3 linked regions of the Tamandua tetradactyla genome follow. The protein of the gene in region 1 interacts with the protein of each later gene in a pairwise test. Links are inferred from orthologs where the notes say so. Each region holds a gene or a part of one and is shown in the gene's direction. Other genes may lie near its edges. The genes, in order: ZC3H12A, AHSP and P4HA3.

What was found.
Region 2: the proteins of ZC3H12A (region 1) and AHSP interact in binary tests that used the Homo sapiens proteins (3 or more experiments, as listed by UniProt). The two-hybrid records come from large-scale screens. The link is inferred for Tamandua tetradactyla from reciprocal best matches to the Homo sapiens genes ZC3H12A and AHSP.
Region 3: the proteins of ZC3H12A (region 1) and P4HA3 interact in binary tests that used the Homo sapiens proteins (3 or more experiments, as listed by UniProt). The two-hybrid records come from large-scale screens. The link is inferred for Tamandua tetradactyla from reciprocal best matches to the Homo sapiens genes ZC3H12A and P4HA3.

Annotation. Positions count from the first base shown.
Region 1 is NC_135328.1:187,838,269-187,849,328, reverse strand, and holds the start of ZC3H12A (endoribonuclease ZC3H12A), read left to right. Parts: upstream 1-5,703; 5' UTR 5,704-5,774; intron 5,775-6,580; 5' UTR 6,581-6,614; coding exon 6,615-7,057; intron 7,058-11,060. UniProt on the Homo sapiens protein: Endoribonuclease involved in various biological functions such as cellular inflammatory response and immune homeostasis, glial differentiation of neuroprogenitor cells, cell death of cardiomyocytes, adipogenesis and angiogenesis.
Region 2 is NC_135349.1:23,061,022-23,070,701, reverse strand, and holds AHSP (alpha-hemoglobin-stabilizing protein), read left to right. Parts: upstream 1-7,152; 5' UTR 7,153-7,323; intron 7,324-7,488; exon of another isoform or gene 7,489-7,491; 5' UTR 7,492-7,495; coding exon 7,496-7,570; intron 7,571-7,710; coding exon 7,711-7,914; 3' UTR 7,915-8,072; downstream 8,073-9,680. Other genes in the region: RUSF1 (RUS family member 1), read right to left, coding at 548-662, 883-1,176. UniProt on the Homo sapiens protein: Acts as a chaperone to prevent the harmful aggregation of alpha-hemoglobin during normal erythroid cell development. Specifically protects free alpha-hemoglobin from precipitation.
Region 3 is NC_135334.1:71,395,294-71,405,764, forward strand, and holds the start of P4HA3 (prolyl 4-hydroxylase subunit alpha-3), read left to right. Parts: upstream 1-5,355; coding exon 5,356-5,546; intron 5,547-10,471. UniProt on the Homo sapiens protein: Catalyzes the post-translational formation of 4-hydroxyproline in -Xaa-Pro-Gly- sequences in collagens and other proteins.

The DNA of each region.
Region 1 (11,060 bases):
TGTGCCAGGGGCATGGTGCAGAGACCCGGACCCAGTCTTCCAGAGCCACGGTCAGCTGGAGGTGATACCCACACACCTCTATAGTTCAGTGGGGACAGTTCAATGAGGAAGGCAGCAGGAACCCTGGGACAAGGGCAGGCTCCTTCCTCCTACCAGCTCAGAGGACAAGAGTGCTTGCTTCAGCACTCTCAGCTCCAGGGCCACCCCAGCTGAGTTCCTAGTCTCTAGAACCTGGGGATGGCTAGGAAGTCGAGCAATTTCTACTGCATCCCTACAGCCATGTCCTCAGATTAGGGAGTGTCAATCGCATACTGGGACCCCCGCCCCTCTTCACATCCTCAGAACTGTGCAGAAAGAATTCTCTGTGGCCCCTTCACTGAATTGACTTTGGCACAGGGGACAAGGGAGGCAGGCAGACTCAAGCTTCTGGCCCACCTTCAGACCCACCTCTTCCATATAGGATTCTCTTGTTACGGAAGTACTTAGTGAGGCCAAAGCAGAAACTTCCACTCCAAACCACTCTCTCCACCGGATGCCCAAGGTTCCCTCATTCCTTGGAGGTAAGTCACCAATGATTGAGAGCACCTGTGTGGGTCAGATTTCTATCTCTGCATCAAGTTGGATCAGAATTAGAGCGAGTGCCTAGGATGGAGGAAGCCTGGCTAGTCCCATTCTCTGCACTGTGGCCAGGGACAAGCTTCTTTCCCTCTCCACTCCCTATCTATAAAACAAAGGGATGGGGCTAAGCAACCTCTATGGAGCTTTCCAGCTCTAGCTGTCTGGAATGTGAGCATTCAAGGGCCCAGAAAAGAGGGAGCAGGAGAAGCTGGGGGGAAACGGAGGCAGAGGGACAGGGGAGGCAGGAGGGTCATCTGGCCTGGGCCCCATAGACAGGAAAGCCCCAAATTTAGACATGATTGTTAATTTCAAAAGGGATCACAGTCAGTCACAGAACATATATACACCAAGAAGACCAAATAAAGACATTTGGTCCCAACACGGAACCATACCACCTGTAAGACCCATGAAATTATATATATCACACCCACATCTAAACATGTATGTTTTTTTAATTCACTCTTTTATTCTGGAATAAGTTTAGCTTTACAGAACAGTTGCAATGACAGTACAGAGAGTTCCCATAAACCCCACACCTACTTTCATTTTCCCCTAATGTTATCATCCTACATCACTGTGGTATATTTGTCAAAACTAAAAAAACCCAACACTGGGTACATTACTGTGAACTCAACTTCAGAGTTTATTTGGATTTTACCAGTTTTTCCATTAGAACCCACTTTCTGTTCCAGGATCCAACTCCGATTATCACGTGGCATTTAGCCAGCCGTGGCTTCACGGGCCCTCTGGTCTGTGACCATTTTTGTCTTTCCTTATTTTTCATGGGCTTTGGAAAGAACAGCCTAGAGACGAGACGCCCCCTCTCATCATATCCTCTCCAGGGACCCGTGATACCCACATGACTGACGTTGACCTTGATCTCTTGGTTAAGGTGGTGCCTGCCAGACTCCCCCACTGCAAAGAGACTATTTTCTCCCATTCCCTACTCTATTATTAAGAAGGAAGTTACTAAGTACAGCTCACAGAAGAGGGGAGGATGGGGAATTAGGCTCCACCTCCTGGATGGAGAGTTTCTACATATATTATTCGGAATTCTTCTATAAGGAAGAGCTGTCCCTTCTCCCTCATTCATTTATTTATTCAATAATGTATTTATATCCATATGGACTCATATTTATTTTACACTTTGGGTCATAACCCAATACTACTTTGTTTATTTTTTTTACCCTGATTGTTACAGCTCTTTTGGCTCCCGTGGCCTCTTTGGCAAGCCCTCATTCTTTTGCTTCTGAGCACTTCTTTACTCTCTGGAACTATAAAATGCTCCAGGCACATCTTTTCCCTGTCCCGGCCCTAAAATCAGTCATTTTGCCTAGGCAATAATATATTTTTAAGCAAATCATCCAATTATCCCGTCAATAGTCCAAATATATTGTGCAACTGTTGAGCATGTGATGAAAATAGCTAATTTGCTCAATTGTGATTTAAAACATACCTTGATCTTTGTAGCCCTGCATTAACCAATATTTTAAAAAATATTTCAGGAGCCTCAAAACATGGGAGGGACCTGGCCCTATCTCCACTTCCAAGAGTCCTTGTTGAATGTAACCATCACCTCTACTGCCACTTCGGTGAGGCTCAGGCCAGCCCTGCCCACCCCTCCCCTCCCCAGCCTGGGCTACCCAAAAGAGCAAATCGAGGCAAAGGTGAATCCAGAGGCCCTTCCCTCTCCAGCCTCCCTGCCTTCCAAAGGGAGTTTCCAGTCCTGGAGCTCTGCAGACCTCGCCCAGGCTGGCGAGGCAAGGGCAGGTGGCAGGAGGGCAGGTAGGCACCAGGAAGGAAGTTGGCAATCCACCTGATGGAGATGAGCAGGCAAAAGGGGAGGTGCATCATTAGACTTCAGAGGATTCCCGGGAATTAGAGTTCAATTTAGCAAAATCCAGCTGGAAGTAGAACCCAAAGCAACTCTGGGTTCTGCAGAAGAGAGCAGGAAGAGAGCGAGACCATGGCTCACTCTGGGAGGGCAGGGAGTTGTGTGACTCACAGCTGGGTCCCACCGGCTCCCACTGGCATGGTGCTGGGCAGCATGAGATCTGGAGGCCCGGGCAGAATCCCAGCCGGGTTCTGGCCCCAGAGGTGGTCCCAGAATGGCAGTTAGAATACAACCCGTAGGGACGGAAGCAGGGTGCTGTGGGAACAGTGAGTAGGAAGCAACTCACCATCTAAAGAGTCCAGGCAGGCCTCGTGGAGGTGGTGTCATCATCAAAATGATGAATGGAATTGGCCAGGCAGCAGTTGGGAAGGAAGGAGGGGAGGACACTCCTAGCAGAGGAAGAAGCATATGCAAAGGTAAAGAAGCGTCTGCCAGGCAGTTGGCAGAGTACCTGCCACCTGGTAACCACTCAATAAATGTGAGGTATTGTTACTGCAGTTGATTAATCATGATTATTAATCTGAACATGCTACAAAGTGTTTTTACTATTGTCAAGGTAGCTACTACAATGAATGCATGCTTAATGTCACTGAGCTCTTCTCATCTATAAAAGAGGCTATTGTGCAGATTAGAAGTACAGCGTGTCCGGGGTTCCCCTGGAGTGGTTGCAATGCATGAGTGGTGCCCACCATCATGAGTGGGCTAGCATATAGTAGGTGGCTTGTGTTCCTTTCAACTCAGCCTGTCAGGCACAGATGAGGGAACACTTGGCAGTCTTTGAAGATGACCAGGCAACAAAACAGGCGCCTGGCTACGCTAGGTCAGGCCAGCCTAGGACAGCCTCAGGTCCTGGCTAGAAATGCACTCTGTGTCCTCTTCGGGGTCTCCCATGGCCTCCTGGAACCAGCAGACATAGACCTGGAGATAGTCTGCCTTGGAGACAGCTGTGTGAATTCCGGCTCTACCAGCTCCCCAACTCTGGGCAAGTCTCTTCATCTTTTTGAACCCCTGAGCTTCAGTTTCCTCAACTCTACGAGAGCATTAGGACATACAAGAATATCCACAGCCTACTCTTTATATTAGCAAAAAGAAAAAAATTAATTTTTTTCTGTTTTCTTTTTATTTCTTCTTCTGAATTGATGCAAATGTTCTAAGAAATGATCATGATGATGAATATACAACTGTGTGATAAAAAAGAATGTTCATATTGTATGTTGATTGGTTTTATTAATAAAAAAATTTTTTTAAGGTTAAAAAAAAAAAAACACCAAAAACAAAACTAGAAATTACCCAAATATCCAAAACAGGAGAATGGATAGTGAGTCATAAAATGGAATACTACACAACAGTGAAATAAATTAATTATAGCTACAAAGAAAAGAGATGGATCCTTAAAAAGTCATATGTGAAAAAAAGGAAACCACAAAACAGAATGATTCCGTTTACATAAGGTAGGAAAAAAAAATGAAAAGCAAATCTAAACAATACATTATTTAGGGAGCCATACAACCGTGGTGAAACTAAAAGAAAACCAAAGATGATTAGCCTAATTAAAACAAAATTCAGGAAAGTAGTTCTTTAGGAAGGGGAGGAAGTTAAATTGGCAGCAGTGGGAGAGGAGGCCAGACAACCTCTGAGGTACTGATTCTGATTAATTTTTTTAAGTTAAATGATGGATACACAAATGTTTTATTATTACTGTAATTCCTTAAGCTGTGTGTATATAGTTGTGTATATAATGTCTTTTACAATAAAAACAAAATTTGATTGTAATACTAGTGCATACCTTAATAGGACACCTGTCTACTATAAGGCAGAGATAATGCTTGGAAACTACTGGCACACAAGGACTCTGTTTTGAGAGCTTTGGCTCTCTTGGCCTCAGTTGCCCCATCTGCAAGGTGAGCTGATAGCACTGCAGAAGCTTTGTCCTCTATCTTGTGTGTGTTTGCACACACGCGTGCGTGCACACGTGCACACACACACACACACACTGGGAGCCTCTTAAGGGCAGGTGCCAGACCCTTCCCTCCTACCAGAGTAGTCTCCCTTCTGTCTCAGGTCACATGAGCGGTTGTGGCAACTGGTGTACTGGAATAGGAGCTCCGGATCCCAGTTCCGTGTCTTTCTAGTTGAGGCAATTTAGCCTTTTCTGAATTTGTTTTCTCATCAGTAAAAGGGACATACTAACCTCTAACTCCCTCACCTCAGCCCATAGGTGGATACTGTAAAGTGCATTACTTACATAAGGGGTTACGACCAATTGATCTGGGAACTTAAAAGCATCCTCAGGGAGGTGTTTCGTGCTGCCTCTGGGGATTGGGGGCGGGGTGGGGGAGAGCGTGACGTCAGGTCTGGGTTTTGAGTGAGTGTAGGATAGTGTCTTCTGTGCTGGCTCACATGGTGATGGTGTGAAAGTACCTACCTTTGCCTGGTTTTCCACTTCAGTCAGTGTCTCTCTGCTGATTGCACCTGCCTTTCTATCTTGGTACTTACTGCAGAAAAAGTCTACCTGGCCCCGGTGTGGCTCCCCCTCTGTGTACCTGCTTCAGTCAGGGTGTGTTTACCTGTGGAATGTTCCTGTTTCAATCTGAAAAGTGCCTGTCAGGGGGAATCTGTCTCGGTAACCATGGACTTACCTCCAACAATGCGTGGACCTACCTGTGTATGCGATCACTTCATGTGTACCTGGCCGTACTTTAGTCTGTGGGAGTGTACCTGGGTGTCCCTCTCTCAGTGGGGGTGAGCCTGTTGCCAAGGGTTCCTAGATCTGAATAGATGTGGCTGGACCTGTCTTGGCATCGCTATACGCACCTCGGCCGGCCCGTACCTGACTCGGTGCATATACCTGGCTCGGCCTGTGCTTACCTTACGCCCGTGCGCCCTTTCCTTCCTAGTCTCATCGCCCCGGGGCCTTGGGGTAAGAAGAAGGGGCGGCGTCCCAGCACCCCCAGCTCCACCACCGCCCGCGCGCCCGCCCGGCACCCCCCTCCCCCCCGCCCCCGGCCCCCACTCAGCCGGCGGGGGGCGGGGCCTGGAGGCCGGGCGGGGCGGGGGGCGGAGCAGGAAGGGGCGGCGGCCGCTCCGCCCCCTGGCGCCCGTCGTCTCCCCCGACCGGCTCTCGCCGCCTTTGCCCGGCTTCCGCGTCACCGACCTTAACGCCACCTGCCCGCCCACCCGCCCAGTATAAAGGCGTCGCCGGTCTTGCCCAGAGGACTCGGCCCCATGGAGACGCCGCTGGCCGCGGCTGGCGCACGGCGGGGTGAGGCGCTCGCGGCGGGGAGGGGGGCGCGGGCCTCGGGGTCTGCTGGGAGGGCGGGGCGTGGAGAGGGCTCGGGCCGGGTCCTGTCGGGGGTGGGGGCGGGCGGGGGCCAGTCACCCCCGCCCCGGGCCGCGTCAGTTCTCCGGAGCCCCTCCAAGTTAGCCCAAGTTGGAGGAACCCGGGGTAGGGGGCCCAGGTCCGGGTGGGGGCGCCCAGCGAGCGCGGGTCTCCCGGCCCGCACAGCCTCCGCGTCACGGCGCCCGGCGGCCAACCAGAGTTTCCCAGCAACTTTTTTCTCCGGTGGATCGCCCCGAAACTTCTCCTCCCCGGGGCGGGAGGCCGGCCGCGGGCCCTGCCGGCCCGCCGCAGTTGGCACCGAGCGCGGGGCGGGTGGGCGGAGGCGAAGGCCTCCGCGGGGAAGCCCCCGGCCTCTGAGCGCACTTCCAACGCCTGGTTTCCATCCGAAAACCCTGCCCCGCCGATGTGGGGGGCGCGGCGAGGTCCTCCAAGGCCCCCGCGGCCTTCTGGGTCCCTGGGTTGACACGGGGGTGGGGTGGGGTGGGAAGGTGGAGTGGAAATGCCTAAATTCACATCCTCAGGCCACCCGTTAACAGCTGTTTGGCCTTGCGCAAGTTCTTAAGGTCTCTTTGCCTCAGTTTCCTCCTTTATAGAACGGGAATGGTAATCCCTAGCAGGGAGAGCCCGGACGGCTGAAGATGGTGATGGTGATGGTAGGGGGCGCGGGCAGCAGAAGGGGTGGGAGCGAGCCCCAGTTCCCATCCCTGACCTCTGTGGTTGTCCCACAGGAGCTGCGGCTGGTCCCTTCCAGGAGCCTGAGCTATGAATGCTCCCTGTGGAGAGAGGCCCATCCAGGCAGCCAACCCCACCATGAGTCTGTGGGAACCTGGGGATGGCCACAGCTGGCAGGGTACCCCCGAACCCACCCAGGAGCCCAGCGCCGAGGAGGCATCCGCTGCAGAGCTGCAGATGAAGGTGGATTTCTTCCGGAAGCTGGGCTACTCGTCTGCTGAGATCCACGGAGTCCTGCAGAAGCTGGGGGTCCAGGCGGACACCAATACGGTGCTGGGCGAGCTGGTCAAACACGGGTCGGCCGCCGAGCGGGAGCGCCAGGCCCAGCCGGACCCCTCCCCGCAGCTTCCTCTTATCGCGCGGGGCGGGGGTCCCCCCAAGTCCCCCAGCCTGGAGACCTCGCCCCCTGAGGAAGAAAAGGAGGGCAGCGACTTGAGGCCTGTGGTCATCGATGGGAGCAATGTGGCCATGAGGTACGTGCCACTCCTGTGACCAAGACTTATGGTCAGTGGCCAGGCAAGGTGGCCACGTGTCCCTGCGGTTCTGGTAGAGAAAGCCCTTCAGGGAGGGGTTGACATCTTCTCATAGCCTAGTCTGAGGAAAGGAAAGCCCTTCGCCGAGGCCCTCCCTCAGGCTGGCGGGCTCCCTCAGCCCTCCCAGCTCCTTGACGTGGGTTTGTTTGGGATGTTTTACAGAGGTGCGACGGCTTTGCCCACAGTCATACTAGTGCCAAGTGGTGGGGTGAGGATTCAAACCCAGGTTGTTCTGTCTCCAGAGGTCATCTACCAGTCTCACCTTGGGTGCCACCACTCCCGGGCTCAGTGACCCCTGACATGGGAGGCACGATGGTCTAGTGGGTTTGAATCCCAGCTCATTCAGTGGAGGAGCCAGTCCCATAACCTGTCTGAGCCTCCTCTCGTCTATAAGAGAACAGCTTTACCCACCTCCCAGGGGGCCTGGCGACTAGTAAGCACTCAGTACATTGTGGGAGCTGCTGCTGTTATTCAGGGGCTGGGGCCTGTGGAGTTGGCTGGTCCCAGACCTGGGCTACCTGTTAAGTGGGCCCAACTGCTGAGGTCTCTATGGCCATGACCGGGAGTAACCTCAAGGCCGGATCTGGCTCTGTCACTGGGGGTGTGGGCGGGTGGCCTGCTACTCTGGCTTCAAGTGAGCTGTGATTTGGGTCCCTCTAATTCAACAGGAGCTGCCTGGACTGGACTAGGCTCTACAGAGCACCTTGGGCCAGTGCTAGAACTCAGCCCTAGCAACTCCCAGCGCCCCCCACTCCCACACCCAACACCGTCTCTCACGGGGAACAGGCTGGGGTGGGGACAGAGGGTAAGACACTGTTGGCCCCAGGGAACCCAGACTTCTCCCTTTGCTCCAGGCCCCACCCTCTGGGTCTGCTTTCTCCCCGTTCCCTTCCAAGCTGGCCAGTGAGTCAGGCAAGGCTGGGCAGTCTCTCACGAGGAAAAGTTCCTGTCGGGGTGGCCTGGGAGACCCCAGACCTGGGGGTGTAGAGTGGGGGAGGGTTCCTTCCCTGGCCACTCTGAGGGATCGCCCAGGTGGGCTGTCTGAGGCGGGCGTGACGTCAGTCTCTGCCCCCAAAGCCCTAGGCCCCTCCCACTCCCGACCCAGCTGGGGCAAGTCTGCTGGCTGGTCCTGGCCCGAGCCCTGCAGACATGCTGGTGAGCTCTCTCACAGCCACCCAGATCAGCCCTGTCTCTAACATGGCCTGAATGTGGGAAGGAGGTTGAGAAAAACAGGCTCCTACCTGCCAGGGGACAGCTGGTCACAGCCTGAGCTTTGAGAGTTCAGGGGTCCATTATTGGGCCCCAGCAGTGTGTGACTGGGCACCGGAGTCGCTTTGGGGCTGTTCCCTTCCTTTGGGGGCCCTGGACTGGGAATGGCTGAGCCCTCCGGGCCGCCATGGCCATGTGCTGTGTGTGTTTGTATCCTGGCAGAAGGAGGAGGGGCCTGGGAGGGAGGAGGGGTGGGTGATGGAGTGGGAGGAAGGGCTACAGAGGAACAGGTGCCCCAAGAGGCAGAGCTGCCGGGGTTTTCTAAGCTGGGGCAGTGGCAGGAGGGGAATTCCAGCCTCAAACTTCCTGTCTCAGCTGCTACTCGGTTCCTGCCCGGCTGTCCCCTCCCCCCCAAGGGCAAGCAGGCCAGCCCCCACCATATGCAAATCGTGGGGAAATTCACCTTCTGTTTCCTTCTAAGGGAATTTTTCTCCACTCACCGGGCCTCGGGCCTCGCCAGGGCAGATCTCACCTGGAGAGCTAGTCCTGGCCCAGCCCTGCCCTCTGTCCTGGAGTCTCTCACCCGCTCACATCAGTGTCTGTTAGCCAGGCTGGGGGGGTCCCGACTTTCTGGGCAGGCAGGATGGCGGAGGGGTGGGAGGATGCCTGGTTTTCCTCTGCAAGCAGGGCTTCCTCTGTCCCTCAGTGACAGGGACTAAAGTTAAGCTGGAGGGAGGCCTGGGAAGACAGTGGCTGGGCTCAATTTGAGGGACTAGAACCTGTTTTCCCCGTCTACTGAGAGTAGGGCTCTGCAAGAGTTAAGGGTTGATACAACTTTTAGTTTTGGCAAGAGTAACAGCGAACAAGTAAACTCATATACTGCTGCTAGAAGAATAAATCGGTTGAGTCCCTTTGGGAGGAAATGTGGCAGTATCTATAAATGTTTATAATATAGGTATCCTTGAACTCAATAATTCTTCTAAGAATGCATCCTATAGAGACGGTATATTTACAGATATATTCACTGGAGCATTATTTGTTGTAGAAAAAAAAATCACTGTGGCTAAACAATATTCAGCCTTAGGGTACTAGTCAAATAAAATAAGGGGCATTTCTATACAGTGGAATATTTTTGCAATTTTTAAAAATGAGGTAAATCTATGTTATCTATATCCTCTGTGTACATATATGGATTTATGTGAAAAATATGCATTAAAATCTTTTGGAAGTTTACAGAAAAAAAACTTCTAGGATAGGGGAGTATGACTAAGTTACGAAGAAGTGAAAACTTTTTATGCTCTTCTGTAGTTTGTTTTTTCAAAACCCAGGTGTATATATTCTACTTCTAAAAAAGTCTTGGAGAAAAAAAAAAAAGTCTTGGAGAAAGCCTATCTTATAAAAATAATTAAACCTGCTCCCCCGCCAAAAGAATAGGGCTCTGACTACCAACAGAGGAAATACTCCAGAGGCTGGTGCTGCTGAGAACAGACTTGTCCCCAGCTAGGGTTTGTAGTGCCTGGAGGCAGTACACTGTTCCGGAAGCCCTGGCATCCCATTTGGTCCCAAGGCTTGAAGGCGCTGGCCCAGGATGAGGCATATGCGTATAATGTATGTGTACAGGGGCAGGCCGGTGGGTGCGTGTACGGATTGCATGCCTGATGAGGAGGGGGAGCCAGGCCAGAGATGACCTCACCCTCACAGCCTGGCTGGGAGACAGAGCAAAAGCCACCCCCTGCCCCCGGGAAAGGGGTCCCAGTATAGGGGAAGCACTAGGCATGGTGAAGACACAGGCCAGGAACCTGCCCCATCCAGGCTTCTCAGAGGCAGTGACACCCCACTTGGCTCCTGAAGGAGGAGCAGGAGCTGGTGAGATGCGTCCTTTCCCCTGTCGCCATGTTTCCAGCCTGCCCCTCCCTCTTGACACTCGTGCCCCAGTTCAAACTCAAGTTTGGGAACTCTTTTCTCCCAAATAAACATCAGGCTTTGCTGTTAGGAACAGAAGGGCCACCCGGTGTCTTCCTTACCGCCAACCAGGTGACCTTGGACAAGTCAGGGCACCTGGGTTCCCTGCACAGTGGCAGTCAGTGTGGGGCGCTGCTCGGTGATGCACCTAGCCACCCGCCGACAGTCCAAGCCCATCGACTCCCCGCCCCTTCCCCAGGTGCAGGGTTTGTGCCTTGAAGGGTGCCTGTCTGGGCACCTTCTCTGCTCCACCTCCACTGCCCTGCGATCCAGGCCACTAAGTTACCCTCCCTGCATTATGGCTTTCTCACCTGAAAAAGAGGGGAGAAAGTGATAATGACAGCACCCTTCTCATGGGGTGCTTCTTGAAGATTAAATGTTAAGCATTTAGAACAGGACCTGACTCTAGCTCTCAGTAACTGTTAACTTTTATTAAAATTGGTGACCCCTGCCAGGGAAGAGCTGCTGTCTGATGGCTGGATGCTGCTTCCTTTTCAATTTACAAAGACAGTCAGACCCTGGAGCCCCAACCTCACCCCCAGCCCCCAACAACAACCACCTCGGTGTCCCCCAGCTGCCCTGCTTTCCTCTCTAACTTCTCTTGGGGCTCCCGACATCACCCCCTGCAGCAGCCTACAGGATGTGGTTGGTCACGGACTTGCCTCTTTTGCGTAACGTTTATTCTCTTGTATTTGCCAAATAGGAGTCTGAGTTGTTCACTGAGGGGGCAGTGAGGGATTGGGGGGGAGCCCGGCTGGCCCTTTTGAACCCT
Region 2 (9,680 bases), on another chromosome or scaffold:
TGATTACTTTATTATTTATAGCATCATCTAGTATCCCAGAGGACCTAGAATACCTTTAATGTTTTCCAGAACCCCCCCTCCTACTCAGGACCAAGTACTTCCTCTCCTCTGGAACTAACCAATTTCCCCCAGTCCCAGTAGCTGGCAGTTTTATTCAGCAACTGTGCTCTAAGACAGTTCTGGACAAACAGTAAATGGGGAAGAAGTGGTTAACTTTGGGATCTGGGATTCAGATGATACAGGGGCTCTGAACAGTTTGTAAGGGGAACAGGGTGTGGCTGCTAGGCTGGTGGGTGGGATGTGGATATGGGGAGTAGCGATACGGCTGGGATACAAGGCACTGTTCTAGGTAGTGGGAAGATTTGGCTCCTGTGTTCTACCTTATCAGGCCCGAATCCACAAATATACTTATCACAGATGAGAGCTAGCGCCTAGGACACTGGCAGAGGAGCAGAGGAAGGGCTGGGCTTTTGCAATAAAAAAAGGAGACCAGAGAGAGGGTAGGTCTGAATGTAGGGCTAAATGAGGCTTTGGGGGCCCAGCTCACCTTTCACGAGCCAGGTAGCTGTGGCAGCTGAAACGGAGGCTTTTGCATTCCCCACCCCTATGCCCAGCAAGACTGCCTGGGTGGCCAAGGAGCCCGAGAGGCTGGACGCAAAGGCCTGGAGGAGAGAAGAAAGGGAGGGACAGGTGGAGGCAGAAACATGGAGGTCTAAGTTCTGTTAACGGCTCTCCTTAGTGTGTGACCCGTGCGATGTCACGTCTCGCGTCTCGCTCTGGGCCATAGACTCCCGTCTGTAAATGGGGAGGGGAAGGTGGCGCGGCACTGTTCTCCCCGCCCTCGACGATGAGCCCCCCCCCGCCCCAGATGGCCACGCTGACCTGCACGGAGTCCCACAGCTGATAGGGCAGATAGTCCGGGCTGACGCTGTCAGGGAAACCCTGTGGCAGGAACACGGCCTGGAGACCCGAGAGAGGTAGTGAGGCAGCCCGGAGCGCCCCCCTTGCACCCCCTTCTCGTCCTCCAGGGTTCACCGTAAAGGCCCCGGAGAACCAGCGCCACTCCCCGGCCTCCCACTGCAGGCTCCCGTCGGCTGCAACACGGCAGCTCCGGGCAGTCCCGGAGCCGAACCGCTCCGAGCATACTTGGGCCTCAAGACCTGTATGCTCAGCCATTGCGGATCTCTTAGCTCGAGTCCCACTAGATGAAATACGTGGCGGGCTCCGCTTCCGTCTCGGCTACGGCGGCTGCAGAGGGGCAGTCTTCCTCCGCGAAAAGGGCGGCCAGGCCCTGTGTCTCGGTTTGTCCGGGCCTGGAAACGGACTACCCTTTCTGTCCTCCCGGGCTCCCACCTCGGACCCAGGGCCGGTCGCGACCCTTGTTCTATGTAGTACTTTGTAGCTGGGCCACGGGAGAAATGGAGGCTCTTTGACCAGAGACGAATCTGAATTCCTGTAACCAGCAATGTCCGGTTATGGGGAAAATAAAAGAGGGTCTAGGGAACAAATGGTGTTTGAGACCCGGTTCAGCCACAAAACTTTTATCTGTGTGACTTTTGGCAAGTCAGTATTCCTCTTTGGGATTCTTTGACATACTAGGGAGTATTATATATTTTTAGTCCTTTTATCTCAAGTACCGAACACATAGGTGCGCAAAAGATATGAATGAATGAATGAACGAGTGAATGATGAGACGCTGGACCAGATGATCCCCGAGGTCCTGTTGAGCTGCAATTTTTTTTTACTTTCTTTAAATTCTAGGCGTCTATGGCCTCCACTAAAAATTCTCACAGAATTTGCAGAGCCTCCTGGATGGAGGAGTATGTCTGAAGGACCCCGAGGTCCTTATCCGAGGGTTTGGGCAATCAAGGGATTGCAGTAGTAGTCTATCAGGAAAGAAGAGAAATAGGTAAGAAGTGCCTGTGTGTGTATTTGGTGGGGGAGGAGGTTTCCATGAAATCGGAGAAAGTCTAAAGACACAGTGCTTCCTTCCCTCCTTCCTTTCACTTTAGCTTTCCCACCCTCCCTTTTTTCCTCCCATTCAGTGCAATATGCTGACTCCAAAGTAGAAATTTGCCGAAAGCTTCCTTTTTCTTTCAGAAAATAATATGTCCTAGTTCCTTAGCTTGACATTCTCAGACCTGAACAGTTTGGTCTCAACTGAATGACCACATCCCTTCTACAAACTTCTGATTCTTCCAAACTATCTCCATCCTCAGGGACCTTTCAGCCTGATACATCCTCAATTCCCTCTCGCCCTATCCGACACCTAAGCACAGTCCCTCTGAGGCCAAGATAGGCCTGGGGCACTGCAATTTTTATCTTATTTTTTAGTTTCCTGGTACTAAAGTGAAAAATTGAAGGGTTACAAACAGTGTGTTATGTTTTAAATGTTACCTTCTGTGAGGCATTGTTGTGATAACACTTTAGTGGTTAAGAGAACTCGGAGGGCAACCTATATAAATGAATGCTATCAGAGGGTCACAGTTTGAATCCAGATTCTGTTACTTAACAGCTGTGAGATCTTGGGCAAGTTACTTGAACTCGCTGTTTTTCAGTTTCTTCATCTGTAAACTGACAGTAGTGCTAATACCTTCCAATCAAGGTTGGGATGAAGATGAAATGAGTCATATGTGTAAGGCTATGAAATTGTGTTTGGCACATAGAACATGCTATTTAAGTGCTGGCTATGATTCTTTCTAGATAACTCCAAGTGTCCAACTTTGAGGCCTTTTGCTCTATGTGAGGCAGGTCAAATAGTCCTCATGCCTCGTATCACCATACAATTTATTATCTAAACTAGGTCTTTCGAGAGTGGCACTGAAGGAGGCACTACTGTTAATGTCAGAATAACAGGTCTAAAATGGAGCTGTCTTGGGAGATATATATATATATATATGGTCACAGTATTTATGTACCCCCTGCAGCGTTACTGACCACATTGGCCTCACTGCACTCAGAACTTGGTTCTTTTGTCTTTGCAGTATTTTTTCAGCCCTTAGCAAGTGCTGCCTGGAGCCGTTTGTTTTTGTATGTATTTAGTACAGATGTCCTGTCTTCCCAAGTGAACTGTAAGTAACTGAGGACAGAGACTTAACATACACTTCCTTGTAACCCCAGCAATCAGACCAGTTTCTTGACAAAGAGATGAGTGATGGATATTTCACCTTCCCCTACTCCATAAGGATTCTGGAGTCCTAAATCCTGCCCCCAAATCCTGGTATCCCATAGTATACCAAGCAATAGGAGGAATACTCCACACTCCTCATCTCCTTGACTTTTTCTCTGATTGGGCTCTCCATTTTCCCTCCTGCCCTGCTACAGTCCACTCTCCACATAGCTTAAAATTCCTTTGCCTTCCTATTGCTTTTTTTGGAAGAAGATTGCAACATTCTTCTTCTCCAAACCCTGAAATGGCTTTTCTTCACACTTGAAAAGAAAACCCAAACTTTTTGCCATGACCCATGGAGCCCTGCAGATCTGACTCTGCCCTCTTAGGCTTCACCCCTACCATTCACCCTCTCACATCTCCAACACCCCACTTTACCCCCCACCCCACCCCAGAATATATGCTTCAGGAGGGCCTCTTTTACAGTATATTTCCAGTGCCTTGTACTTGTGCCTGGTAGGTGTCTAATAGGTAAGTGCCTAATATGTAATTGTGGAATAAATGAATTTATTTTCTCAACAGCTCTCATAAGTTAGGTATATTTTAGTACCCTTTTACAGACTACTTCACCTAGGTCACAAAATCATGCAGTTATTTATTCAACAAATATTTTAGTGAGCAATGACTATACTTTCCAGCACTTGGAAATTTCAATTTCCAGGATTGAAAATTTAAAACTACACTATCATTGTTTTTTCTTTCCTTTTTTTGTTCTGTATTCTTTTTTTAAAAATTAGAAAATAATAGAGGGATACATTGTTGTCATAAAATAATTCAGATAATATAGATAAGGGTAAATTTTCCCTTGACAATAATCCCTTGTTCCATTTCCCAAACAAACCAGTCCCTTCCAAGTAAACATTGTTTATCATTTTGTATACACACATGCAAAGATACATATACATACATATATATACACATATGGAAATATATAATGCTTCCCCACTCCTGTACTCCCAGCCCTGGGTGGGCTGCTCTATCTATAGTTCACCTAACATTTGACTTAAGGATATTTTCATATTGTCACATTTATTTTAATGCTGCATGTAATGTCATGCTATGAATGTGCCATAATTTCTTTGACATTTCCCCATACTGATGGACCTGTAGGTTGTTTCGACCTTTTCCTTATTACAAACTGGTGTGGTAGATTTCTTGTACAGGGTTTTCTGTGCATAGAATATTGATATTTCTTCAATATTCTTCAAAAATAGTGTCCCAAATGAGCAGGCCATGGCGGTTCAGCAGGCAGAATTCTTGCCTGCACGTGCCAGAGACCTGGTTTCGATTCCTGGTGCCTGACTATGCAGAAAAAAAAAAAAGGAGTCCCAGAGCAGAATTGCAAGGTTGAAGGGTATGAATATTTTGACTAAATACTGCCAAATTATTCTTCTAAAAACTTTACACTCCTACCAAGTGAAAGTGCTTTTCACTTTCATCAATATATGTATTTCCACCACCCCAAAAAGTTCCCCTTGGGCATCTCTGCAACTGAATCCCCACTTTCATATACCAGCCCTAGTTAACTACTTATTTGCCTTCTGTCACTAGACCTTAGTTTTGCCTATTCTAGAATTTCACAGAAATGGAATCATGCTACATGTACTCTCTTATGTCTGTTTTTTTTCGCTCAGCATAGTGTATTTAAGATTCACCCATTTTGCAGCGGGGACCATCAGTTTGTTCTTTTTTTGTTGCTGAGTGGTATTTCAGTGTGAACCATAATTTTTATTTCCATCCACTGGTTATCGGACATCTGGGTTATTTCCAGTTCTGGATTATTATGAATAAAGCTATGAACATTTGAATCTGAGAATGTTTGTAGACATATTTTCATTTCTCATGGAGTGGAATTGTTGGATCATATGGTAAGTGGATGTTGAACTCCAGAAGAAATAGTCAAACTGTTTTCCAAACTGTTTGTTCCATTTTATACTCCTATTGCAATGTATGAGAATTCTAGTTGTTTCACATCAACACCAACACCTAATTGGCCTTTTAAATTTTAGTCATTCAGTGGATGTGTGGTGGTACCACATTGTGGCTTTAATTTGCATTTCCCTGATGATTAATGATGTTGAACATCTTTTCAGTTGCATATTGGCTATGTGTATATCTTTGTGAAATGTCTGTTCCAATCTTTTGGTTGTTTGAAAAAATTAGGTTGTCTTATTATTGAGTTGTAAAAGTTAATATAAATTTTGGACACATGTCCTTCGTCAGATTGTGTTATGGATTGAATCAGGTCCTCCCATCCCAACCCCCAAAACAGGTTCAAGTTCTAACCCCTTGTGTTGTGATTATGAACCCATTTGTGAGGCTACTCTGACACAGAATGGGCCTTAACCCAATGGCTGGGATTCTAGGATACAGGGGAAGTTTGGACACAGTAGGAGAGTAGGAGACAGATAGGGAGAGAGACAGCTGTGATGGAGGCAGAAATTAAGTTTTGGATTGCCAGCAATCCACCACCGGAATGCTACAGATGTCACAAGAAGCCCGGCCTGCTGACACCTTAATTTTGGGTGGCTAGCCTCCAAAACTGTGAGAAAATAAATTCCTGATATTTAAGCCAACCAGTCTATGGCATTTTGTTATAGCAGCCTCGGCAAACTAAGATTGTATCGTAATTCTCTCTCTCACTGGTAATACATACTTTTATTTTAGAGAAATGAAAACATATGTTCACACAAAAACCTGTACCCAAATGTTTATAGCAGCTCTATTCCTACTCACCCTAAACTGCCTACAATCGAGGCCATGTCTTTTAATGGGTGAATGAATAAACAAACTGTGGTGCACCCACACACTGGAATATTACTTGGCAATGAAAAGGGAACAACTCACAACTTGGATGCATCTCAGAGGTATTATGCTGAGTGAAAGAAATCAGTCTCAAAAGGTCAGGACTGTATGAGTCCCTTTACATGACATTCTTTAAAAGACTAACCTAGTGACTAAATAGTGACAGAGAACAGATCAGTGGTTGGCAGGGCTTACAGGTGGGTGTGGGAGTGAGCATAAGGGAATTTCTTGGGGTGATGCAATTGCTATACCCTGATTGTGGTGTTGGTACATGAATCTACATATGTTAAAATTCATAAACTATACACCAGAAAAGAGGATGACTTTGCTGTTTGTTAATTAAGAAAACACCTAAACAAAGAAAGTAAATCAACAAACCTCTGAGAGTATAGGTGCTTATGAATGTTGGTTTTTGAATGGAGAAAGCTGTGCCAGGAAACATATTTGTTAATGCTGGTTACCTTAGTAGGTGGAGGGAGAAAAATGATCAACTTTTCCAGTGGACAGATTTGTATTGCGTCACTTATTTCAATGAACATGTAGCGACTTTTCTTTTTTTTGGCATGGGCAGGCACTGGGAATTGAACTTGGGTCTCCAGCATGGCAGGTGAGAACTCTGACTGCTGAGCCACTGTGGCCCACCCAACATGTAGTGATTTTAAAACTTGAAAAACATCTGCTAAAAATGGAAACTATTGGGAAAACATTTAAAAGGAAGAAAAAGGGCATTTCTATTTTGTGGAGTACGTGGTGATACCATGGAGAACAAGACAAATGCATCTCCATTCTTGGGGAGTGAAGACTGACAGAGTCCAACTCCCTTTCTTATGACTCATCTGCCAAATGTGGCTAATAACAGTCCCTACCTAAAGGGTTTTTACAGGGATGAATAACTTAATACATGCTCGTAACAAGGAAGCACTTACTGAATTAGTGTAATGTAAGCTATTAATATATTTATGAAATGGGAGAATAATTGTCATCATGGTGTTGTGATGCCTTAAGAGAGCCTGTCATGTAATAGGATCTCAATAAATGTGTGTTTGGAGCCTGGGTACTGAGATGGGGGGCAGGGGGCAGAAGCAAGGATTTGAACCTGGTTTGGTTCTTGCGTTTTCTGGATCTCCTCATTTATCTTTTTTTTCTTGGTCTTGCTATCTTCCTAGCGTCAGGGAAGCCTCTCCCTCCTTCTCCTCCCTCAACTGACCTATCATCCTTCATCAGGACCTAGACACAGGGCGTTTCCCTCTTAGGCAGACACTTGTCTCCTTGCCTACAACCTAGCTTGTCACAGAGGAACCTACATCCCTGGGGAGTGTAGGTGAGACACAGCACCATTGGGCCTGAAGGTGAGCTCACTTTGGGGAGAAATAATATCTCAGGGCAGAGGGGGATTTAAGAAGCAGTGGGAGGAGGTGGCCCTGCCTGGGCACCAGGGATCTTTCAGGGGAGTGAGGGGATTGGGGGAAATACCCAGGGGCAGGGAGGAGGATACTTAAACTCTTTTCTCTAAGTAGGCAGATGGCCCTTCTTCAGGCCAACAAGGATCTCATTTCCCAAGCAATGAGAGAATTTAATGCTCTGCTGGATCAGCAGGTAAGCCCAGTACTAGGTTTCAAAGGAAACCAGTGGAGAGGTGGGGGTGAGGGCAGAAAAAGGAGAGTAAGGGTGGAGTTGGTGGAAACAATGAAAGGAAGAAATTCTCGAATCCCATTCTCTTCCCCTTCTACTCCCAGGTCCACCCTGATCCTCCTATCTCTGAAGAGGCTATGGTGACCATAGCGGGCGACTGGGTGAACTTCTACATCACCTATTACAGGCGGAAGATGGTCGGGGAGCAGGAGGAGCAGGACAGGGCTCTGCAGGAACTTGAGCAAGAGCTGAATACTCTGGCTAACCCTTTCCTGGCCAAATACCGGGCCTTCCTGAAGTCCTTGTGAGCACCCAAATCGCCCACTGCCTTCCTCCTAGCCCAGAGACCAGCCCTTCATCTCTAAGAAACCCTCAAGTCCTGGCTCTGTCCTTCAGGTCCTTGGGCTCTGCTCTTCCGCTGCTTCTACACTCCCACTCAATAAAGACAAATACTGGTTTTGCTGGTCTTCGGATCTTCTTCCAATTTTTGTCCCACTTGTAGCGGCAGTTGGAGTCCTTTTCCCTCAGCCCTACTTCCTAGATTTCCCCTTGGAGACTTAATTCCTTAGAGCAGAGGTCACCAATCCCAGATAACCACCAGCCAGTACTAAAATGGGTCGGAGGAGGGGCCTAACACACAGAGTCTGAAGGGAACGTGCTGGGGATGAGGTGGGGGCAGGAGGTAGCTGGGGGTCGGGAGTGGTAGAAAAGGAAGGATAGAAGCTCTCCTGCCACTGTAGTCCTGGGATGGGCTTGTTTGCAGAAAGTTGCTGGAAGTCTTAAGGAATGAAGCACCCACCGCCTCAATTTTTCAGTTCCCTACCCTTAGCTCCAGTTTGAGCAAAATTCTAGGACTTTCTGACTCTAAAGACTACAGCAAAATTCCTCCCAGGTGTCCCAGCGTAGCGGGGTAATTTAGAACTGCAAGAGTTCTTGGTAACCATCTAGCTCGCCCCACCTTCCTCGTTGCCCCTAACCTGCTCCTCCACTCCCCAGACTAGACCTTTTTCTCCCCGACCTCCAGACCCTAAATCTTTATAGTCTAGGATTTAGAGGGGGTGGAACCAGGGTTGAGCCAGACGCACGAGCCTTTAAAAAACGAAACGAAAGTGCTGGGGAGAATACTAAGGGGGACTAGCCGGCAGCCCTGTCTCCCTGGAAAGCCCGAGGGGCACGGAAGCCGGGAGGATTGGAGGTGGGTGGAGGTTAGGGGGCGCAGGCGCGGAGGACGCAAAGGGCCTTGCGCGCGGGAGGGGGGGGCGAGGCGCACCACGATTCGGCCAATCACAGGTCGCGCAAAGCGCGCGCCCCGCTAAGGGGGCGGGGAGATCCCCTGTCCTTTTCTGTATTGTTGCTTTCGCGGGGAAAATTTGGGGCAGCGAGTGTTTCTCTTGTTCCCACTTTCAGCGGGCGTTCTCTTTGGTTCTGTGCATCCCCACCTCCGGTTTTTGGTTTTAGGGCGCCGGCAGTCTAGGCAGTCTAGTCCAGGGTCTAAAGGGGACGGGCTCAGTGCCCCCAGCCATCTTTCCAGCTTAGGGGTGTGAGGAGGCCCCAGACCCAGCGAGAGGATGGCCACCTCGCAGAGAACCAGGCAGCGAGAACCTCTGAGGTGTGGTCGGTGTCCCTGGTGGAGGCCGAGGCCTTCCCCACAGCGTGCCTCAGGAAATCCCAGTCCTTTAGTGTGGACCCAGGGCCCGCCCAGGTGAGGCAGTATTCAAAAACGCCGCCTTTGCAAGCAGAGCTGGTGTAGTGTACATGGGTAGGGGCATATGAAAAACTATTAGGCTTACTCTTGCTATATGGAGCGAGCTTTAGAAGAATGGCCCGAAGTCACTCTGGCTAAATTAATTAATAACTTTCCATCAATTTAAAGTATCCTGCCTTGGGAGGTGGTGAGCCAACAGTCCCTAAAGTGCTCAGTCAAAGGAAGATGACCAATTATGGGGAATGCTGTAGAAAAGATTCCTACAGTGGATGGGAAACTCAACATCTAAACGCCATTCGAGCCATTCTGTCAGAGTGTATGAAATTGAGAAGTAGTCAAACGTGTTTAGAGCCAAAGTCTATCAATTGC
Region 3 (10,471 bases), on another chromosome or scaffold:
ATTTCCCAACTCTTATGAAAGACCTAAAATTACAGATCCAAGAAGTGCAGCGCACCCCAAAGAGAATAGACCCAAATAGGCGTTCTCCAAGACACTTACTAGTTAGAATGTCAGAGGTCAAAGAGAAAGAGAGGATCTTGAAAGCAGCAAGAGAAAAACATACAAGGGAAACCCAATAAGACTATGTGTAGATTTCTCAGCAGAAACCATGGAAGCTAGAAGACAGTGGGATGATATATTTAAATTACTAAAAGAGAAAAAGTGCCAACCAAGACTTCTATATCCAGCAAAATTGTCCTTCAAAAAAGAGGGAGAAATTAAAACATTTTCAGACAAAAAGTCACTGAGAGAATTTGTGACCAAGAGACCAGCTCTGCAAGAAATACTAAAGGGAGCACTAGAGTCAGATACAAAAAGACAGAAGAGAGAGGCATGGAGAAGAGTGTAGAAAGAAGGAAAATCAGATATGATATATATAATACAAAAGGCGAAATGGTAGAGGAAAATATTATCCAAACAGTAATAACAAAAATGTCAATGGACTGAATTCCCCAATCAAAAGACATAGACTGGCAGAATGGATTAAAAAACAGGATCCTTCTATATGCTGTCTACAGGAAACACATCTTAGACCCAGAGATAAACGTAGGTTGAAAGTGAAAGGTTGGGAAAAGATATTTCATGCAAATAACAACCAGAAGAGAGCAGGAGTGGCTATACTAATATCCAACAAATTAGACTTCAAATGTAAAACAGTTAAAAGAGACAAAGAAGGACACTATCTACTAATAAAAGGAACAATTAAACAAGAAGACATAACAATCATAAATATTTATGCACCGAACCAGAATGCCCCAAAATACATGAGGAATACACTGCAATCACTGAAAAGGGAAATAGACATATATAACATAATAGTTGGAGACTTCAATTCACCACTCTCATCAGTGGACAGAACATCTAGACAGAGGATCAATAAAGAAATAGAGAATTTGAATATTACAATAAATGAGCTAGACTTAACAGACATTTATAGGACATTACATCCCACAACAGCAGGATACACCTTTTTCTCAAGTGCTCATGGATCATTCTCAAAGATAGACCATATGCTGGGACACAAAGAAAGTCTTAGCAAATTTAAAAAGATTGAAATCATACACAACACTTTCTAGGATCATAAAGGAATGAAGTTGGAAATCAATAATAGGCGGAGTGCCAGAAAATTCACAAATACGTGGAGACTCAACAACACACTCTTAAACAATGAGTGGGTCAAGGAAGAAATTGCAAGAGAAATTAGTAAATATCTCGAAGTGAATGAAAATGAAAACACAACATATCAAAACCTATGGGACGCAGCAAAGGCAGTGCTAAGAGGGAAATTTATTGCCCTAAATGCCTATATCAGAAAAGAAGAAAGGGCAAAAATTCTGGAATTAACTGTCCAATTGGAAGAACTGGAGAAAGAACAGCAAACTAACCCCAAAGCAAGCAAAAGGAAAGAAATAACAAAGATTAGAGCAGAAATAAATGAAATTGAGAACATGAAAACAATAGAGAAAATCAATAAGACCAGAAGTTGGTTCTATGATAAAATCAATAAGATTGATGGGCCCTTAGCAAGATCGACAAAAAGAAGAAGAGAGAGGACGCAAATAAATAAGATCAGAAATGGAAGAGGAGACATAACCACTGACCTCACAGAAATAAAGGAGGTAATAACAGGATACTATGAACAACTTTACACTAATAAATACAACAATTTAGATGAAATGGACGGGTTCCTGGAAAGGCATGAACAACCAACTTTGACTCAAGAAGAAATAGATGACCTCAACAAACCAATCACAAGTAAAGAAATTGAATCAGTCATTCAAAAGCTTCCCCAAAAGAAAAGTCCAGGACCAGACGGCTTCACATCTGAATTCTACCAAACATTTCAGAAAGCATTAGTACCAACTCTCCTCAAACTCTTCAAAAAAATTGAAGTGGAGGGAAAGCTACCTAATTCATTCTATGAAGCCAACATCACCCTCATACCAAAACCAGGCAAAGATATTACAAAAAAAGAAAACTACAGACCAATCTCTCTAATGAATATAGATGCAAAAATCCTCAACAAAATTCTAGCAAATCGAATCCAACAACACATTAAAAGAATTATACATCATGACCAAGTAGGATTCATCCCAGGTATGGAAGGATGGTTCAACATAAGAAAATCAATTAATGTAATACACCATATCAACAAATCAAAGCAGAAAAATCACATGATCATCTCAATTGATGCAGAGAAGGCATTCGACAAGATTCAACATCCTTTCCTGTTGAAAACACTTCAAAAGATAGGAATACAAGGGAACTTCCTTAAAATGATAGAGGGAATATATGAAAAACCCACAGCTAATATCATCCTCAATGGAGAAAAATGGAAAACTTTCCCCCTAAGATCAGGAACAAGACAAGGATGTCCATTATCACCACTATTATTCAACATTGTGTTGGAGGTTCTAGCCAGAGCAATTAGACAAGAAAAAGAAATACAAGGCATCAAAATTGGAAAGGAAGAAGTAAAACTATCACTGTTTGCAGACGATATGATACTATACATCGAAAACCCGGAAAAATCCACAACAAAACTACTAGAGCTAATAAATGAGTACAGCAAAGTAGCAGGTTACAAGATCAACATTCAAAAATCTGTAGCATTTCTATACACTAGCAATGAACAAGCTGAGGGGGAAATCAAGAAATGAATTCCATTTACAATTGCAACTAAAAGAATAAAATACCTAGGAATAAATTTAACTAAAGAGACAAAAAACCTATACAAAGAAAACTACAAAAAACTGTTAAAAGAAATCACAGAAGACCTAAATAGATGGAAGGGCATATCGTGTTCATGGATTGGAAGACTAAATATAGTTAAGATGTCAATCCTACCTAAATTGATTTACAGATTCAATGCAATACCAATCAAAATCCCAACAACTTATTTTTCAGAAATAGAAAAACCAATAAGCAAATTTATCTGGAAGGGCAGGGTGCCCCGAATTGCTAAAAGTATCTTGAGGAAAAAAAACGAAGCTGGAGGTCTCACGCTGCTGGACTTTAAGGCATATTATGAAGCCACAGTGGTCAAAACAGCATGGTATTGGCATAAAGATAGATATATCAACCAATGGAATCGAATAGAGTGCTCAGATATAGACCCTCTCATCTGTGGACATTTGATCTTTGATAAGGGAGTCAAGCCAACTCACCTGGGACAGAACAGTCTCTTCAATAAATGGTGCCTTGAGAACTGGATATCCATATGCAAAAGAATGAAAGAGGACCCGTATCTCACACCCTATACAAAAGTTAACTCAAAATGGATCAAAGATCTAGACATTAGGTCTAAGACCATAAAACAGTTAGAGGAAAATGTAGCCGATATCTTATGAAACTTACAATTGGAGGCGGTTTTATGGACCTTAAACCTAAAGCAAGAGCACTGAAGAAAGAAATAAATAAATGGGAGCTCCTCAAAATTAAACACTTTTGTGCATCAAAGAACTTCATCAAGAAAGTAGAAAGACAGCCTACACGATGGAAGACAATATTTGGAAACGACATATCAGATAAAGGTCTAGTATCCAGAATTTATAAAGAGATTGTTCAACTCAACAACAAAAAGACAGCCAACCCAATTACAAAATGGGAAAAAGACTTGAACAGACACCTCTCAGAAGAGGAAATACAAATGGCCAAAAGGCACATGAAGAGCTGCTCAATATCCCTGGCCATTAGAGAAATGCAAATCAAAACCACAATGAGATATCATCTCACACCCACCAGAATGGCCATTATCAACAAAACAGAAAATGACAAGTGCTGGAGAGGATGCGGAGAAAGAGGCACACTTATCCACTGTTGGTGGGAATGTCAAATGGTGCAACCACTGTGGAAGGCAGTTTGGCGGTTCCTCAAAAAACTGAATATAGAATTGCCATATGACCCAGCAATACCATTGCTAGGTATCTACTCAAAGGACTTAAGGGCAAAGACACAAACGGACATTTGCACACCAATGTTTATAGCAGCGTTATTTACAATTGCAAAGAGATGGAAACAGCCAAAATGTCCATCAACAGACGAGTAGCTAAACAAACTGTGGTATATACATACAATGGAATATTATGCAGCTTTAAGACAGGATAAACTTATGAAGCATGTAATAACATGGATGGACCTAGAGAACATTATGCTGAGTGAGTCTAGCCAAAAACTAAAAGACAAATACTGTATGGTCCCACTGATGTGAACAGACATTCGAGAATAAACTTGGAATATGTCATTGGTAACAGAGACCATCAGGAGTTAGAAACAGGGTAAGATAATGGGTAATTGGAGCTGAAGGGATACAGACTGTGCAACAGGACTAGATACAAAAACTCAAAAATGGACAGCACAATACTACCTAATTGTAATGTAATTATGTTAAAACACTGAATGAAGCTGCATCTGAGCTATAATTTTTTATTTGTTTGTATTTTTTGTTTTTTCTTTTTCCTTTTTTTTCTTTTTTATATTTTTTCTATTTTTATTTTTATTATTATTTTTATTTTTTTCTCTATATTATCATTCTATATCTTTTTCTGTTGTTTTGCTAGTTCTTTTCCTAAATCGATGCAAATGTACTAAAAAATGATGATCATACATCTATGTGATGATATTAAGAATTACTGATTGCATATGTAGAATGGAATGATTTCTAAATGTTGTGTTAGTTAATTTTTTTTAATTAATAATAAAAAAAAGATAATGTCCTTTTTCCTGCTTCTGTGGATAGCTTGTGGTTTTTACCTTTATAAGCCCCCCCTTGAGAACTTCTTGGGGCTACTCTCTGATTCCTCCTTCTTGAGTTTCTGAGGCAGTCGCCAGTGGGCTAATAAAGACTCCTAATTGGCTTGCAAATTGCTTTGACTTGTGTGGTCTCTCTTTTGGTGCGCCCCACAACACTTAGGCGGGTGAATCCATGGCTCTCTTTGCCCTCTGCGTCAAATTTTACCATGTGTGAAATGGGCACACAGGAAACATCTTCCCAGGGCTGTAAATGAGTGGCGGGCAGGCGGAACTGAGATCGCAGGCCCTGCCCCTCAGTCTGGGGCGCTGAGGGGCAGGAGAGTGGGAGCTGGCAGCTAGAGGAAGCGGCGGGGACAAGGAGTGAGTGGGGTGAGGTAGGGTGGGGGAAGGAGCGAGGCGGGGTCAGCGGGCGGGGCCAGCGGGCCGGGCGCGGCCGAGGGGCGGGGCGCGGCGGGCGCGGGGCCGAGCCGGGTGGGCCGCCTGAGGAACGCGCGAGCGCCGGCCATGGGCCCCGCGGCGCCGCTGGAGTTGCTGCTGGCGTCGCTGCTGGCGGTCGGGTCCGGGAGCCCGGCGCGGGGGGACACGTTCTCCGCGCTGACCAGCGTGGCGCGCGCCCTGGCCCCCGAGCGCCAGCTGCTGGGGCTGCTGCGACGCTACCTGCGCGGGGAAGAGGCGCGGCTGCGGGACCTGACCAGGTGAGTGCGTGCGCGATGGTGGCGACAGAGGGGCGTGAGGGTGGGAGGCTGAGTCACAGGGCGAGCCTGAGACGCTGTGCGACCCCAGACTCATTGTCACCTGCGTGGGACCTGGGACCCGGTGTCTTGCTCTGAGACAGGCACCGTGATATGGGGTGGAGAGTGACTCAGGCTGTGTGACCCAGAGCCGTTGTCACCCTGTGTGGGACTCTGAAGCACTGTGGCACGGAGTACTGGGGAAATTGAGATGGAGTATGACCCCAGAGGCGTTGGGTCACAAACTGTGTCAGACCCCAGGCTCTGTCACACACCTACAGTGACACCCCGGATTTGACGTCACACAGTGAAGTTGATACACTGAAAAAGTGTGGTGGGGGTGACTCTGAGGCCACACACGACCTCACAAGGTGCTGTGTCAAGCTGTGTGGGACCCCAAACCAAGACAGATTGATGCAATGACATAAAGACAAGGGCGAGAGAGAGATGGTGAGATGGCAGTGACACCGTGGCCTCACAAGTATTGACCTTGTGAGTGGACACTGAGTGGGCCTTCTGAGAAACACTATGTGACCCAGCAAACCTGTGTTTAGTATGAGGAGTCAGGTGTGGTTCTGTGACCTTCTGCGAAATCTGTATGTCAGGGGGACTGAATGGGCATGACACTATGGATATCATGCTATGCATGTGAAAGATGCTGAATCCAGGTCACTATACGTTCATTACTTCATTCAACACAGACGTTTGAGTGTCTCCTATGAGCCAAACAAGTTCTAGGCACTGGAGGTAAAATTGTGAACAAGACCTAACCTTGCCCTAAAGGAGCTTGGAGTCTGTAGTGTCATAATTGTTAATCAGAGAGGTCCATCTCTTCTTTGTTTTCAACTCTCCCTTCTCTTTACACATGGTAAGAGCTCCCTAGCTTACTGTTTAAGTAAGAAAAGAGATGTTTTTCTGTGCTAAAGTATTTGACGTTGTGAAAAACCTTACGTCATGCTGGAAGATACTGAGTAGAGCATATGCAAGCAAATGCTCATCAATATTATTTTGCTATACAGTCAACAAACTCTAGTGGTACACACTATGGGATAAAATATTTTAATTCTTGGGACACTGTAATCATGCCTTTTCTGCGACATACTATGAAAGATGAATGACTGTATATATGATACCATGTGTATGAGTGTATGTTGTGCTTCTGTGTCATAAAAGCCTGTGTCTCTGTGCTTGGGGCATAAAGTCCATAACACAGTGAGAAACAGTGGTTCCGGCATCACTTTTAAAGTATCAATATTTTATGTATATCATGGGAATATAAATGATATTCTGCTGGAAACAACTTGAGAGGAGACAATAGATGTTTCACAATGCACTGCTTATAAAACTGAAAGTGAGTGTAATTGCTATATGATAGTAATAGTGATTCTAGGGCATCATGGAAAGAAGGTGGATGTGATGTTGTGCGTAAGGGAGCCCGTATAGAAGATTCTAAGTTTGTGGAGGTGTGTGTGAAAGATCTTATTACTCGATGGTGACTGAATGATGATGTGACCTTATAAATGGTGCTTGCCTATAAGCAGTTTGTACCTGTTTAAATGTACTGTTAGTTTGACTAGGTTTATATGTAGAGAGAGAGAATTATGTGAGTGTGTATTAATTTTGTTTAACAATAAATGTATAATAATTTAAATAATTCTTGTTACCTCTTTGGAATACATATTGCTTAACATTCTGTGGGTACATGTTTATAGAGAAAGATATTTTAATTTTATTTTTAGTCCAGGATCACCAAAGTCCAAGTTTATTGATTGAAATGGAACATATTTTGTAAATTTCGGAACCCAACATGCTCCTTAGTGCCCGTGAGTTTGTTTTCATACCCCAGTCCCTTTCCCTGCATGGCTCAAATGGAGATGCATGTCAGAATCCTGGGCTGGGTCCATCAGGGAAAAAGCTCCAGAGAGAGCTCTTGCAACATTGTCCAAAGCAGCTGGTCAGGGGGGCCCCTCTGCATGCCTGTTGTGTCACTGTCACAGCTTTGTCGCACACAGTCCTTAGATAAAGGTTTGTATTTCTCTCTTTTACCGTGATAAGCATGTATTACTTTTTTTTAACATAATTAAAATATGAGAAAACTAAACTTCATAGAGATAAATGAGCTTGTCCAAGATTATAAATTTATTAGGTAGCATATCTAGGAGTAGAACACAATTTTTTTTTTTGCTTTTAATTGTAATAAACTATACATAACAAAATTTACCATTTCAACCCTTTTAAAATGTACAGTTCAGCAGCATTAAATACATTCATAGTGTGGCACAACCATCACCACCGTCTATTTCCAGAACATTTTCATCCCAAACAATAGAACACAGTTGTTTTGACTGTTAATCCGATTCTTTCCATCATGCTATGATATCCCTGCTGCTTGCTTTATGTTATATACCAGGGTGACAGACTAAGCCCAAAACTACCTGAGGTTTTATGAGAGACCACAGCGCACAGTGGGTCGAGTCTGGATTCAGGAATTCAACAGACCTCTGTTTGAATCCCTGGCTCTGCCTTAGGACAAGTTTCTTTAACTCTTTAAAGCTTTGGTTTTCTAATCTGTAAAATGATGAAAGTGATGGTACCTAGCCCCATGGAATTGTTGGGATGATGACATGAAATTAGCCGTGTAAGGTATTTATCATTGTGCTTCAAATATAATAACGCTCAACGTTAGCTCTTTGTGATTAAGGTTTATTTCTTTTAAGTCTGGCTGGTGAAACTAGTTGCCATATTTGGCTTTAAGCATTATCTAGAATTGTGAGGGTCCAGATAGTAAAAAAGAATCAGAAGAATTACAGATTCTTTAGCAATTCCTACACCTTTGTTTTTGTAAAGTTTAGATGGATAGCTTGAGGAGTCTGTCATTCTGTTCTCCAGTCAGTGCTTTGAAACCTAGTGAAATGTTTGCCTTTTAAAGCAAGAATTTTGGCTGTTCTTGCTCATTTTTCTATACTCCCAACTGGTGATCTTATGTAACTTGAGATGTTATTTCTAATGGCCTCAGTGTTATGGGTCTTTGAGTTTTTAGGTTGAGAAATGAAATATTTCTTAAACTTAAAACTACACACTACTCCCAGTTATCGAATGAAAATTACACTAGTTATAGAAAATAAAGTTTACCCCTAATTTTTTGTTACAGTTTGAAAAACCACCAAGAGGATAAGAGTAGTATCAGCAGCAATTATTTCTCTGCTAGGAATTAAGCATTCAGAATGTTTCGGAAGAACTGAGACAAAGACATTTTCGAATTCTAAAAGAGAAACATTGAATTTAAAATGCCCAAGCATTGCTATTGGATAACCTTGCCAGGCTATATTTAATGCAGGGATTGAGTTGCAAATTTTTTGTGTAGATTCTTAAATGAAAGAATCTGATTTTCCACTCTCAGCAGTATTTGTTTTGCAAAATTTGTGTGTATGTTCTTAAAGGAAAGGATCTGATTTTCCACTCTCAGCAGTATTTGTTAAAGCACATGCTATTTAGAAAGCCCTGAAGTTTGAATTCAGCATCTTGTTACTCCATCTCTGGAAACCAGCTATTTGCTTCGAGACTGGGCATAGCTCCAACATTTGGATTCCAAACCAGCCTCATATATCAGTTGACAGGCTTTTCTCCTCTTTGTGCAACAGAAAAATGGTGTATCTGAGCACTGGATTGAATTGATGAGCAGTAGTAGAGGTCAAACCCCTGACCTACACAAATAGAACCCCATAATGCAAATTGGTGGGATATAAAGAGAACAGGAAGATAGAGAAGTAAGCTTTTGACTGTTGGATGACTTAAGTCAAATGTTCTCCTCTCTTCCTTTGCCTCACTTTCCTCTGATTCCTGTTAAACATTAGTTCTCAGGCACTAAATGTGGAATTTATATATTCATTTGTAGAAAAGGTGATAGGATGGCAAGGCCTAGGAGTTGCTTCCAGGAAATCTCTTTGTTGCTCAGATATGGCCTCTCCCTCTAGGCCTAACTCTGCAAGGAAAGTCATTGCCCCCTGCCCCCGTGGGACCTGACATTCAGGGGTGAAAATCTCCCCATGGCGCATGGCTTCTGGGATGAATCTGGTCCTGGCACCCTGGGATCTACAAAGCCTTCTGGACAAGGGGCAGGAAACAGGTATAATAAAATAAGGTATCAGTGGCCAGGGGAGATCAAATGGAGTCATGAGGTTATTCTGGAAACTATTCTTATGTAAGCTTCAGTTAGATGGTGCTGATTGCCATGGTTTGCTAAATCTCAACCAACATCACTCTTGTTGACTTTTGGAAACACCTAGGGCTTGAACTGAGACCAATAAAGGTTTCATGCACCAAGTTTGCTTTCCCGGAACCTGTCATTCCTGGAGGGTTCCTAGGTCAGATAAATCCTGAAACCCAGAGGGACCAGCCTTTCCAAGATTATCAATTAACTACATCCCCCTATCCATTAATGTGACACCTCTTTTCAACATGAAAAAGTCAGAATGGTCATTGCCCAAAGATCCCTAGAGATTGGGAGAAGGATCAAAGGAAACGGAGGCGGTATAACAGGGAGAATAGGATTTGGCAAACGAGTATGACTGCTGAATCATTATATTAATATTCCTGCTAGCTTCCAGTATTTAGGAGCAGCTAGAAGGAAAAATCTGAGATGGTGGACCTGGGGACCTGACAAACTCTGGGATCTGTTCTGTAACTGCTTGTTGAAGTATGCTTTGAAAATTATTGCTTTTTTCTTTCTTTGCTTTGCATATATATTTTACAATAAAAAATTTGAAAAAAAAAAGGTTATGGGAAGAAATGATAGAATGATCATGCTGAAAAGATCCATAGAGATATTCTGGACTAGACAGATTCTTTCGCTTTACAGGGGAGGAGACTTCGAGGTAGTTGCTGGCGGG